3 linked regions of the Sus scrofa genome follow. The protein of the gene in region 2 purifies or fractionates together with the protein of the main gene of each other region. This does not show direct contact. Links are inferred from orthologs where the notes say so. Each region holds a gene or a part of one and is shown on either strand. Other genes may lie near its edges.

Region 1 (3,600 bases), on a different chromosome or scaffold from region 2:
ATTTTAGCCCAGTCTAGCTTGTGTCTATCTGGCTATTTTTCTATGTGCTTAGTTAACAATTAAAAGAAGATAATGACATTACAAATGTCCTTATAGGAAAAAAAACTTTCAAAAAAATCTTTTTTTTTTTTTTTTTTTTTTTTTGCTTTTTTTTTCTTTAGGGCCACACCTGTGGCATATGGAAGTTCCCAGGCTAGGTGTCGAATCAGAGCTGCAGCTGCTGGCCTCTGCCACAGCCACAGCAATGCAGGATCCGAGCCATGTCTTTGACCTACACCACAGCTCACAGCAACGCTAGATCCTTAACCCACTGAGAGAGGCTAGGGTTTAAACCCTCATCCTCATGGATATTAGTTGGGTTTGAAACCCACTGAGCCACAATGGGAAAGCCCTAAAATCTTAATTTAGTAGATGTTGATAGTTTTCTAGCACCTGCGATTGTATTTTCATTATAATACAGCTTTCCTATGTCTATTGACATATAATTTCTGATAGTTTATCTCCATAATAATAATCAGTAGTAACTGTGTAGAAAGTCTTAGAAACTTGGTAGCAGTCACCACTGAGATATAGTTTAATATGTGTCTGGTTCATTGAATTTTCTGGTTACTGCATCTTTTATCTTACATGAATTATCTTTTGTCAAAATGTGAGAGAATCTTATTTAGAACATTAAGAGATAATGAAGATGGTTATTTTCAGCTAACATTTATCAGATGTTTACCATATTCAAGCATTATGCTCACTTTACAGGCATTCTCATATATCTATAATCCTATGTTATTACATAACCCCTATTTTATAGAGAAAGAAGCTGGGTCTTAGGCTGAGTTGATCAGTGTCACTTGACTGGTGCAATTGAGATTTGAACCAGAGTCTGAGGCCAGAGACTGCATTCCTAACCATCTCACTATACAGCCTCAAGAATTTGAACATAAGTTGATCTGATAATTTTAAAATGCATTGTAGATTTTACAGTGCTTCAGGATCATGAGTTAATCAGTACATGTAACCTTACTCTTAAAATAAAAGTGATAATTTAAGCTTCATGGTAGTTTGAAATAGTGCCATTCATTCTGGTTGTTTTTATGTCTTAATACATTTGATAAAATACTTGAGACTCATTAATGTTTTCCTTTTTTTTTATCTGTGACAGCATTGGATTCGAAGGCTAACAATTTGTCCAGTCTGTCAAAGAAATACCGCCAGGATGCGAAGTACTTGAACATGCGTTCCACTTACGCCAAACTTGCAGCAGTAGCTGTATTTTTCATCATGTTAATAGTGTATGTGCGATTCTGGTGGCTGTGAAGTAGTGAATCCCGTCATTGTCAGAGGAGAACCTAGAACCTGGCAGGTGTATGTTTTCAGGAAGCTGAGCTCACAGAGATGTGTATTAGAATTCAAGTGGAACTTCTGCCTCTAAAGACCTTGCAAGAAAAGACATGTCCTGAAAATGAAAGATTACACCTCATTTAATGAAGCTTAACCCTATGTAGAAAGTCTCTTGGGGGCAGAGGCTTTCTCTGGGTGCTAAGCCATATATGTTAGGGAACAGTAGGTTGTTTTATTTTGTTTTTTCCCCTCCCAGTGTTTTATATTTTAGATCAGCACTCACTGGGGCATTCTCATTCTCTAATGGAGCCGTCAGTGAGATTTGGCTTAACCAACCTGTGCTAGCAACAGTTTGAAATCCCTTCAGAGAAGGCAACCCTTTGGAAAGTTTTTTGACCATCTAATCAACATTCCTTTTGTTGGTGACATTTGTTATTTTCAGGAATCTGAGTTGTTGATGGCCTTTTAAACAAGACTCCAGTATGTGAAGGTTAATTGCTGTGCTGCAAGAGATCCTATCTGTTGGCCCCTGTAGAAAGTTAGCCTTTGTTATTTTCCCTTTATAATATTTTGCTTATTGTACAATTGCTCTTAGGGTTAAATGAATTATATTAAGATGCCTGAAATTATATTATAGCACTCCTTGATTAAGAAGCTAACATGTTTTCTGTCATTTACTCCTCAAAAGACTTAAAATTAGTTTGGGACATTCTTAATTTTATTTTTATGCATCTGGTTTATATTAATATATGAGTGAGTACAGCATATGGATAGTCAGAGACCCCTGACTTAGTGAAAAGCAAGGCCAGCTCATAACTACAGCTTTGTCCTGCCCCTTTCTCACTTTCTCCACTATGGTTTTCCTCTCTTTCTCTTGCCAGAATTTTCTAACATTTTAAAAATTCCTCTGTGTCCAGTAGTTTCAAGTCCATTAAGTATCTTCTCAGGATATTCTCAAATTTCAAAATAGAAAATGTTCAGCTGTGTAGTTAATTAAATTTAAATTTTTCTGGAACAACTGCTCAAACTATTAAATACATTTATCAAGTCTGAGAGCACTTCATACCTGCTTCAGTTATGGAAATTCTCTGAGAATGTTCTAGAGATAGGTAACTGATATCACAGTAGCTTCTAATAACAAACAAATACTTATGATTTTTCCCTTTTTTGCTCAGGGATGATGAGGATTTCCTCTTACCTTCTGAGGTAGAATTTTCTAAATGGGGAAAACAGGCCTTTTAAATACTGTCACAAGGCTCTACAGTATAACCTATAACTCCTATACACACTGCAAATATTTCTTTAAATTGTACAGGTACATGAGCCACCTTCTTACTTCTTAAAATCTTTGGAAAGACCTTTAACCAGTAAGCAATTTTATAACTCAGGATCATCAAAGCTACTGTTCTGATTCCTGATAGAGAAAAACATCCTATTTCCTTATAACAAGGCAAGGAGAAATGCTTATTTTATTCCTGATAATTTACAGAACTAGAATAAAGTTTTTTTCTTTCCATTTTGGACTTAAGTCTGCCAATTGGACTTTTGTGCATGAAATAAGTTACTTTTTATAGAGAATAAGTGCTTTTAAGTTCCTAAAAGGCTTGTCCCTAAGTAATGATGTTGGTAATAAAAGCCTTTGAAAGGCTGAAAACCTAAGTAGCATTTGGTACTTCTGTAGGAGTGGAGAATGGCAGCTTGTTGTTGAGAGTTGCATACTGCAGCCAAGTGGTCAGCAATGAAATAAATACTTCTAGAATGTTCCCTTCAGTGTGAAGTTTTGTTATCTAGTTAATTTACGTGCATGTATTTAGGTACATTTCTACCTAAACTCAGGTTTAATTTAAAAATGAGATGGGAGGAATGATAAACAAAGGGATAAGAAAGTAGTTTAAGATTATGATGGTAGAAAATGAGAAAACAAGTCTCATGATATGGCTCCTACTTCTATTCTTTATTAGAGAGAGTGGGAAGACCTGAGCAGATGAAATGTATCAGCAACTGAATAGGCATCTAAAATAGAATGTTAGAAAGTGCTATTCAGATTTATCAGGGGTGCATTAAGAAAGGACACCTAATTTACTGGGAAGGAGTATGGTAAGAGAAGGAGAATGGGTATTCTAGAAAGAGTCAATGGCTTGTACAAAGTCAGGAGTTAAAAGAGTGAGGCACATTTGGGGGGTTGTAATTAACTTGGTTCAACTTAATTCATAGTGTAGGCAACTGAGACTTGAGGAAGAACTAGATGGGTACACTGTCATGCAG
Region 2 (3,500 bases):
AATCCACACCTTGGACACATGGAAGTTCCTGGATCCAGGGACTGAATCCGAGCTGCATCTGTGGCCTACACTGCAGCTGCTGCCTATGCTGCAGCTGGGGCAACCCCAGATCTTTTAACCCACTTCGTGGGGCTGGGGATCAAACCCACAACTCTGTAGTGACCCAAGCCACTGCAGCTGGATTTTTAACCCACTATGCCAGATGTCACCTTCCTGATAGGGTCTACCACAACTATCCTCTTTTTTTTGTTTTTTTGTCTTTTTTGTTAGGGCCCTACTCGCGGCACATGGAGGTTCCCAGGCTAGAGGTCGACTCAGAACTGTAGCTGCAGGCCTATGCCACAGCCACAGCAATGCCAGATCCAAGCTGTGTTTGTGACCTATACCACAGCTTACAGCAATGCAGGATCCTTAACCCACTGAGCAAGGCCAGGGATCGAACCTGCATCAGATTCATTCCCACTAAGCCACAACAGGAGCTCCAATCCTCTTTAAATATACAACTTGCCCCTCCATGCCTATTAGTTTACCCCACTCTACTTTTATTTATGGATTTATCACTGGACAAAAATATATTCTGGACTATTTATTATGTGAATTTTTAACTATCTATCTCCCCTACTATGATGTAAGTTCCACAGAGGCAGGTTTGTCTCTTTTGACCTTGGCTGTACCCTCCGTAACTCACTGAATGAACACCAAGTGCCAAAAAAGAGGCACAGATACTCTCAGGCAGTAGCAGCGGAGGCCACAGGAGCAGAAACGTCTTCCGTGGGTGGGCTCTGCCTCCCTCCCTCCGGTCTCCCCCTGTACCTCTCTGTTCCCGTTCACTGCTTTCTAGCTGTGCTAGCCTTCTTGATCCTTTAATACAGCAGGACTGTGCCGCTGGAGGGCTTTGCTCTAGCTGTCTGCGCTGCCTAGAATACTCTTTGCCCCTCTCTTTTTTTTGGCGTTTTAGGGCCGCACCCACAGCACATGGAAGGTCCCAGGCGCAGGGCCAAATCAGAGCTGTAGCTGCTGGCCTACACCACAACCACAACAATGCAGGATCAAAGCCACATCTGCAACCTGCACCACAGCTCACAGCAATGCCAGAGCCTTAACCCACTGAGTGACGTCAGGGATCGGACCTGTGTTGTCATGGATACTAGTCAGGTTCTTTTCCACTGAGCCACGATGGGAACACCTCTTTCCCTCTCCCTTGCATGGCTGGATCCCTCCTGCTGTTCATGCCTCTCCTTAAATGTCGAGTCGAGTCTTCAGAGCAGCCTTCCCTGCCACCCTATCTGACATACCTCCGCCGACACTTTCTCAACACCTCGTCCTACTTTCTCGGTATAGCCCTTTATCACTACCCGAAAATTTCTTTAAATTCTTTTTTTTTGCTGACTCCACTGCATGAGGAAGTTCCCAGGCCAGGGATCAAACCTGTGCCACAAGAGAACTCCTTGTCAATTCTCTTTAATAGCTCTCCTCACCCACCTTGGTAAATTCTGTATGAAGACAACAAAGTAAGCCTCACGAAACAGATGTAACTGTCTGTTCATCCCCACATCCCCAGCACCTAGCACAGGGCCTGGTGGGAAACAGGTGCTCAGTCAACACTTGTCGAGTGAACAGAGGGAGGTGAACTGACCCTGGGGGTGGACAGGGTTCACCCTCTCTTCCAAAGGGCATCAAGCTGCCCCTGGGGACCTTTAGGATGCCAACCCCCGAGGGTTAAAGAGAGGAAGAGTCTCACCTCTGAATGGTTTCTTCCTGTTCCTTAACCATGTGTGCCAACTGCTGGAAGATGGAGCCAAGCTCCACAATTGTGGACTCAATGTTCTGCATGGTGTCTGCCCGGGTCTGGATGTAGGAGTCCTTCAGAGGGAGAGAGTGCACATGAGCCCTGGGAGCTTCCTCAGGGCGGGGCCTGCCTCTTGAGGGCCCTCCCTCTTGCCATTCCACCCACGGCACATTCCAAACGCTTGCTTGTGGCCCACGGAGGAAACCAGAGGAGCTACTCCTCCCCCGCTCAGAGCCTGGGTACCTGCTCATCAATGAGCTGCAGCTGCTGGCTGGTCCTAGAATCCATCATGTCAATGGCCACGTCCCCAGAGGCTCGGGACTCTGCCCCCAAAACCACAGCACCGCCCCCTGGGGGAAGAAAGAAGACACGGCACTCCTTAGTGGTTAAAAGGTTCAAAGCCCACATGCTCTGGATTTGAATCCCAGCTCCGGCAATTACTAGCCTTGTGACCCTGGACGTCTCTGAGACTCAGTTTCCTCAGCTATAAAACGGGGGATAATAATAGCTGCTTTCTCAAAGGGTGGTTGCCAAAATTAGATGATGGAATGTAAATAAAATGAACAGGTGCACAACAAATACTAGAAACTGTTGGAGTTCCCATCGTGGTGCAGCAGAAACGAATCCGACTAAGAACCATGAGGTTGAGGGTTCGATCCCTGGCCTTGCTCAGTGGGTTAAGGATCTGGTGTTGCCATGAGCTGTGATGTAGGTCACAGACATGGCTCAGATCTGGCGTTGCTGTGGCTGTGGTGTAGGTCACAGATATGGCGTGGATCCCACGTTTCTGTGACTGTGGCCTAGGCCAGCAGCTGTAGCTCCAACTGGACCCCTAGCCTGGGAACTTCCATATGCCAAGGGTACAGCCCTAAAAAGCAAAGAAAATAAAAATAAAAATAAAAAATACTAGAAACTGTCATTCTTGGAGTCCTATCGTGGCTCAGTGGGTTATGAACCCAACTAGTACCCGTGAGGATGCAGGTTCAATCCCTGGCCTCGCTCAGTGGGTTAAGGATCTGACGTTGCCATGAGCTGTGGTGTAGGTCACACACTCGGTTCAGATCCCACGGGGCTGTGGCTGTGGCGTAGGCTGGTGGCTGCAGCTCTTACTCCGTCCCTAGCCTGAGAACTTCCAGATGCCGTAGGTGTGGCCCTCAAAGAAAAAAAAAAAGAGAGAAACGGTCATCCTTCTGAACTTGACTTCTCACCCCAACGGTGAGAATGAATGTGGGAGACCAGGTGTGGACTGCACATCCCACCCTCAGCTTTGGCCTCTGAGAGATCAAGCCGAGCACCGTCCTTGGCCCTCCTTTCTCCTACCCAACGCCTGCCTTAGAGGGTACCCTCAGAGCCGGAGTAACGGCGCCTTACCCCCAAGGCTCCCTGCGCTGCCTGTGACTTACCGAGGTGGTTGGGCGCGAGGGGCAGGGCTGACACGGGTGCCCGGGAGAACTGCTCCCGCCGGCTCCTCTGCTGCTTCAGGTTCTGGGGTTGGGGAGGAAGGGGAAGCGCCTGAGGCCTCTGGAAGGCCGGCGTGTTAAAGAGACCCCGCCTGCGGCCCGTGACCACCCCGCCCTTCCCTTCCACTTGTCCCTTTCCTGTTTCCCTCGGGGACCCTCATCCCCAGACTCCTAGCCCCCTACACAGCTCCTTCTCACCTCTGTCCTCACTTCCAAAACTGATTTGAAGTCATTGGACATGGAGGCCAGCT
Region 3 (3,500 bases), on a different chromosome or scaffold from region 2:
TATTCTCAAATTATTTTACAGGCTCTTAAAGACATGTTAGAACCCGCACAGTATACATTACACCATTTTTACCTAAACATCGTAAATTATGTGCATTTTCTTCTTCCTTTTTTTGGTTTGGCGAATATGTCAATAGCAGATGCTTAGGAGGGGAGGGGATAGACAGCCACATTCGCAGAAGAGTGGTCACTGCTGATGGTATATTTTCATTGGGACTCGCTTTGCACAAGCTGGACTCTAGAATAGATTTGCTGCCTGTTTGTTGTGACCTCTTAATTTTTCAGTTTCGTAATTTAAATTAGTATTACTAATGCTTCTGAGAAACCCATCAGCGAAACAGATAAGCCTACTAAGCTAAAACATTTTGTTTACTCTGAGAAGTCCAGCCTTTTAAGGAAAAAAGTTTACTTCCCCAATTACTAATGGGGTAAGGACCTATAATTTTCAAAAGTTGAATATCTGTTTTCTGGTCCCATGTAATTTAAGGTCACTTGTAATTTGGTACCTTATTTGCCTAAGGAAAAGAATATCCTGAAGTGTGTTGGTATTTTCCAGGTTTTTTCTTCCTTTTTTTTTTTTTCCGATTTTTAGGGCCGAATCGTGGCATATGGAAGTTCCCAGGCTGGGGGTCAAATTGGAGCAGCAGCTGCCAGCCTACACCAGAGCTGCAGCCACGCCAGATCTGAGCCGTGTCTGTGGCCTACACCACAGCTCACGGCAATGCTGGATCCTTGACCCACCAAGCAAGGCCAGGGATCAAACCAGCATCCTCACCGATACTAGTCGGGTTCATTAACCGCTGAGCCATGACAGGAACTCCTATTTTCCAGTTTTTTGTGAATTTTGTTCTTGCTTTGTCACCCTAAGTGTAAAACCGCACATCCAAAATCACTTATTTTTTTTTTATATAAGGCTCTACAGTTAATGGCATACTGTTATACACGTGATCTCACTTTATCATCACCACAAATTATTATCATTCCCAAAAATATGTTTTAAAAATCACATAAAATGGGTGTGAATTCGGACTCCATAGAGAGATAATAATAGAAACCTAAATCATACTGACATAAGGAGTTAAAGGAAGGAATTAATTTGTTTATATAAGTGTAGAATTCAGGGGTAGAATTTGGCTTGAGGCATGGCTGGATATAGGGGCTCAGACTTTATTATCAGAACCTGCCTTTCCTCTCTGTTCCCCTCCTCCATCTCTTACTTCTGTTTTCTGGTGTGTTGGCCCCATTCTCGGGCAGATTTCCTCCTTGTACTGGTAGAGGTGGCTACAAGAGGCACTTCCTCGCAGTTCAGAAATTCTCATGGACAATGGGTATCTTTTCTAACAGCTGTAGCACACGTCCCCAGAGGACTGTGGTTGCCCTACCCTAGCTCGAGTCACTGCCTATTCCTAACCTGGTCACTAGCCAAGAGTTCCGAATATTCTCTGAGGCCAGTCCAAGTGTGTGTGCACCTGATGGCAGAGGACAAGGTTAGCCGCACCCTGTCCACGGACTGAACTAGATTGTTACAGAAGGAGGGGAGAGGTCCCCATAAAGGATAGAAACGTGTCCACCTTAGACAGGGCTTTCTAATGTCAAAAGCTTTCTTGCTTTCTCAAAGGGGATTGTCGACCCTCCTTTTACCAAACAAGAGAAGATGAAGCATTTGCTTTATGTGAGGTGTGTACCTTCCATGGTATAATTTTTTGCCCATTACTTCACGCTTCCTGTTCTCTGACGTTATAAAAATTGTTTCTTGAAATTGTTATTTTTTTTCATTAATTAATTCAAAAAACACACTAATGCCTACAGTGTCTAAAGCTCTAGTCAGTAAGCGCTGGAGTTCCTGTTGTGGTGCAGTGGTTAACGAGTCTCACTAGGAACCAGGAGGTTTCGGGTTTGATCCCTGGCCTTGCTCAGTGGGTTAAGGATCCAGCGTTGCCATAAGCTGTAGTGTAGGTCGCAGGCGCAGCTCAGATCCCGCGTTGCTGTGGCTCTGACGTAGGCTGGTGGCTACAGCTCCGATTCAACCTCTAGCCTGGGAACCTCCATATGCCGAGGGAGCGGCCCTAGAAAAGGCAAAAAGACAAAAAAAAGGAAAATTAAAGATTAGACGAAAACGTGGCCTATGCATACAATATGTAGAAAATATAAATACACAATACAGTCCCTGCTGAGAGTCATTTTATTTAAAATGCAGTGAGAAAAAAACATTTGTTTAATTAAAAAAATGCGGTGAGGATTCAACTGGAGTAGGGATTATTCCAGCTCTCTAGTATCCTAGGTGATTTCGTTGTTGCTTTTCCTGACCTCGATATAATACCTCTATTTACAGAGGATATGTATATATATATATATATATATATATAGTCAGAAACCAGCGCAAGAAATGTAAAACAATATAAGATGCACAGGCATGCGCTTTGATGACAACATGCTAACAAGATAGGAAGGTATTTTGCAGTAGTAAGTAAAATACAGTTGTGGTGCTTTTATAAAGCCCCTAAAATTGAAAATTCTAATCTTCCTTTTTTATGTTCCCTAAATAGGATAGCTAGGGCAGTTGAACCCACTTTCTTTTTTACTTTTTATCTTATTTTTTGGCCACACTGCAGCAAGCAGGAGTTCCTGGGCCAGAGATAGAGCCCACACCACAGCAGTGACAGTGCCAGATCCTTAACCCACTGAGCCACCATGGAACTCCTCACCCACTTTCTTGCCATAGTCTGCCTACTGCTGCAAAGTAAATTTTAAATTTTAGGGAGTTTCCTAGTGGGCTAGTGGTTAAGGATCTGGTATTGTCACTGTTGTGGCCTGGGATGATCCCTGACCCAGGAACTTCCACATGCCATGGGCACAGCAAAAATAATAAATAGTTAACCAGTGCTTGATTATACAGGCACTCAGAGTTTATTCCCATCAGTTGCCTGAATGCAGGGAGGCTTATCACCCTGTGGGGAGAAAATCAGCTATTCCTCCAAACCCCTCTGGCAGAACTACCTAGTCTCCTGAGAAAAGAGGTTAGAGAGAGAGAGAGAGAAGGGGGAAAAGGAAAGGCATCCTCTGTTCTGATCACACGGACTCCCACCCTGACAGTGATCCCTCGGCAGGTATGGTTATTCCCCACCCCCGCCCCCCTGCTGATTCTTTTTCTTTTCATTCTTCTCACTTGTGTACTGCACTGTGCAGGGAGACTTTGTTTGGGACTTTGAGCAGTAGAATGTCTGTGTTTGCCACAAGCTTCCTCAGTGTGATTTTCTTCCCCTCAATTTCTTCTCATCACTTATCGTTTCTGGACTCCACTGCTCTCTGTTTTTGAAATTCCTGTGAGTTTTCACTAAAGAGACTTCTTCTAAATATGACCTTAATAAAGATTTCCCAAAGATCGTTTTCCTGCTGTGAACAGCCTGATCCAGCGGATCAACCTTAGGAAGCGGCGAGACTCCCTCATCCTGGGGGGTGTTGTTGGCATCTGTACCATCCTATTGCTGCTCTATGCTTTCC

Evidence for each region. Proteins that work in one complex are often made in the same cells at the same time.
Region 1: the proteins of STX5 (region 2) and vesicle-trafficking protein SEC22b purify together in Homo sapiens (co-immunoprecipitation; 4 studies listed by BioGRID and IntAct, counting the BioPlex papers as one, with this or other methods). This does not show direct contact. The link is inferred for Sus scrofa from reciprocal best matches to the Homo sapiens genes STX5 and SEC22B.
Region 3: the proteins of STX5 (region 2) and GOSR1 purify together in Homo sapiens (affinity purification with western blotting; 3 studies listed by BioGRID, with this or other methods). This does not show direct contact. The link is inferred for Sus scrofa from reciprocal best matches to the Homo sapiens genes STX5 and GOSR1.

What each region holds. Positions count from the first base shown.
Region 1 is NC_010446.5:100,897,843-100,901,442, forward strand, and holds the end of vesicle-trafficking protein SEC22b, read left to right. Parts: intron 1-1,156; coding exon 1,157-1,311; 3' UTR 1,312-3,100; downstream 3,101-3,600. UniProt on the Homo sapiens protein: SNARE involved in targeting and fusion of ER-derived transport vesicles with the Golgi complex as well as Golgi-derived retrograde transport vesicles with the ER.
Region 2 is NC_010444.4:8,947,786-8,951,285, reverse strand, and holds part of STX5 (syntaxin-5), read right to left. Parts: coding exon 3,448-3,500; intron 3,275-3,447; coding exon 3,193-3,274; intron 2,140-3,192; coding exon 2,033-2,139; intron 1,864-2,032; coding exon 1,742-1,863; intron 1-1,741. UniProt on the Homo sapiens protein: Mediates endoplasmic reticulum to Golgi transport.
Region 3 is NC_010454.4:46,589,624-46,593,123, forward strand, and holds part of GOSR1 (Golgi SNAP receptor complex member 1), read left to right. Parts: intron 1-3,380; coding exon 3,381-3,500. UniProt on the Homo sapiens protein: Involved in transport from the ER to the Golgi apparatus as well as in intra-Golgi transport. It belongs to a super-family of proteins called t-SNAREs or soluble NSF (N-ethylmaleimide-sensitive factor) attachment protein receptor.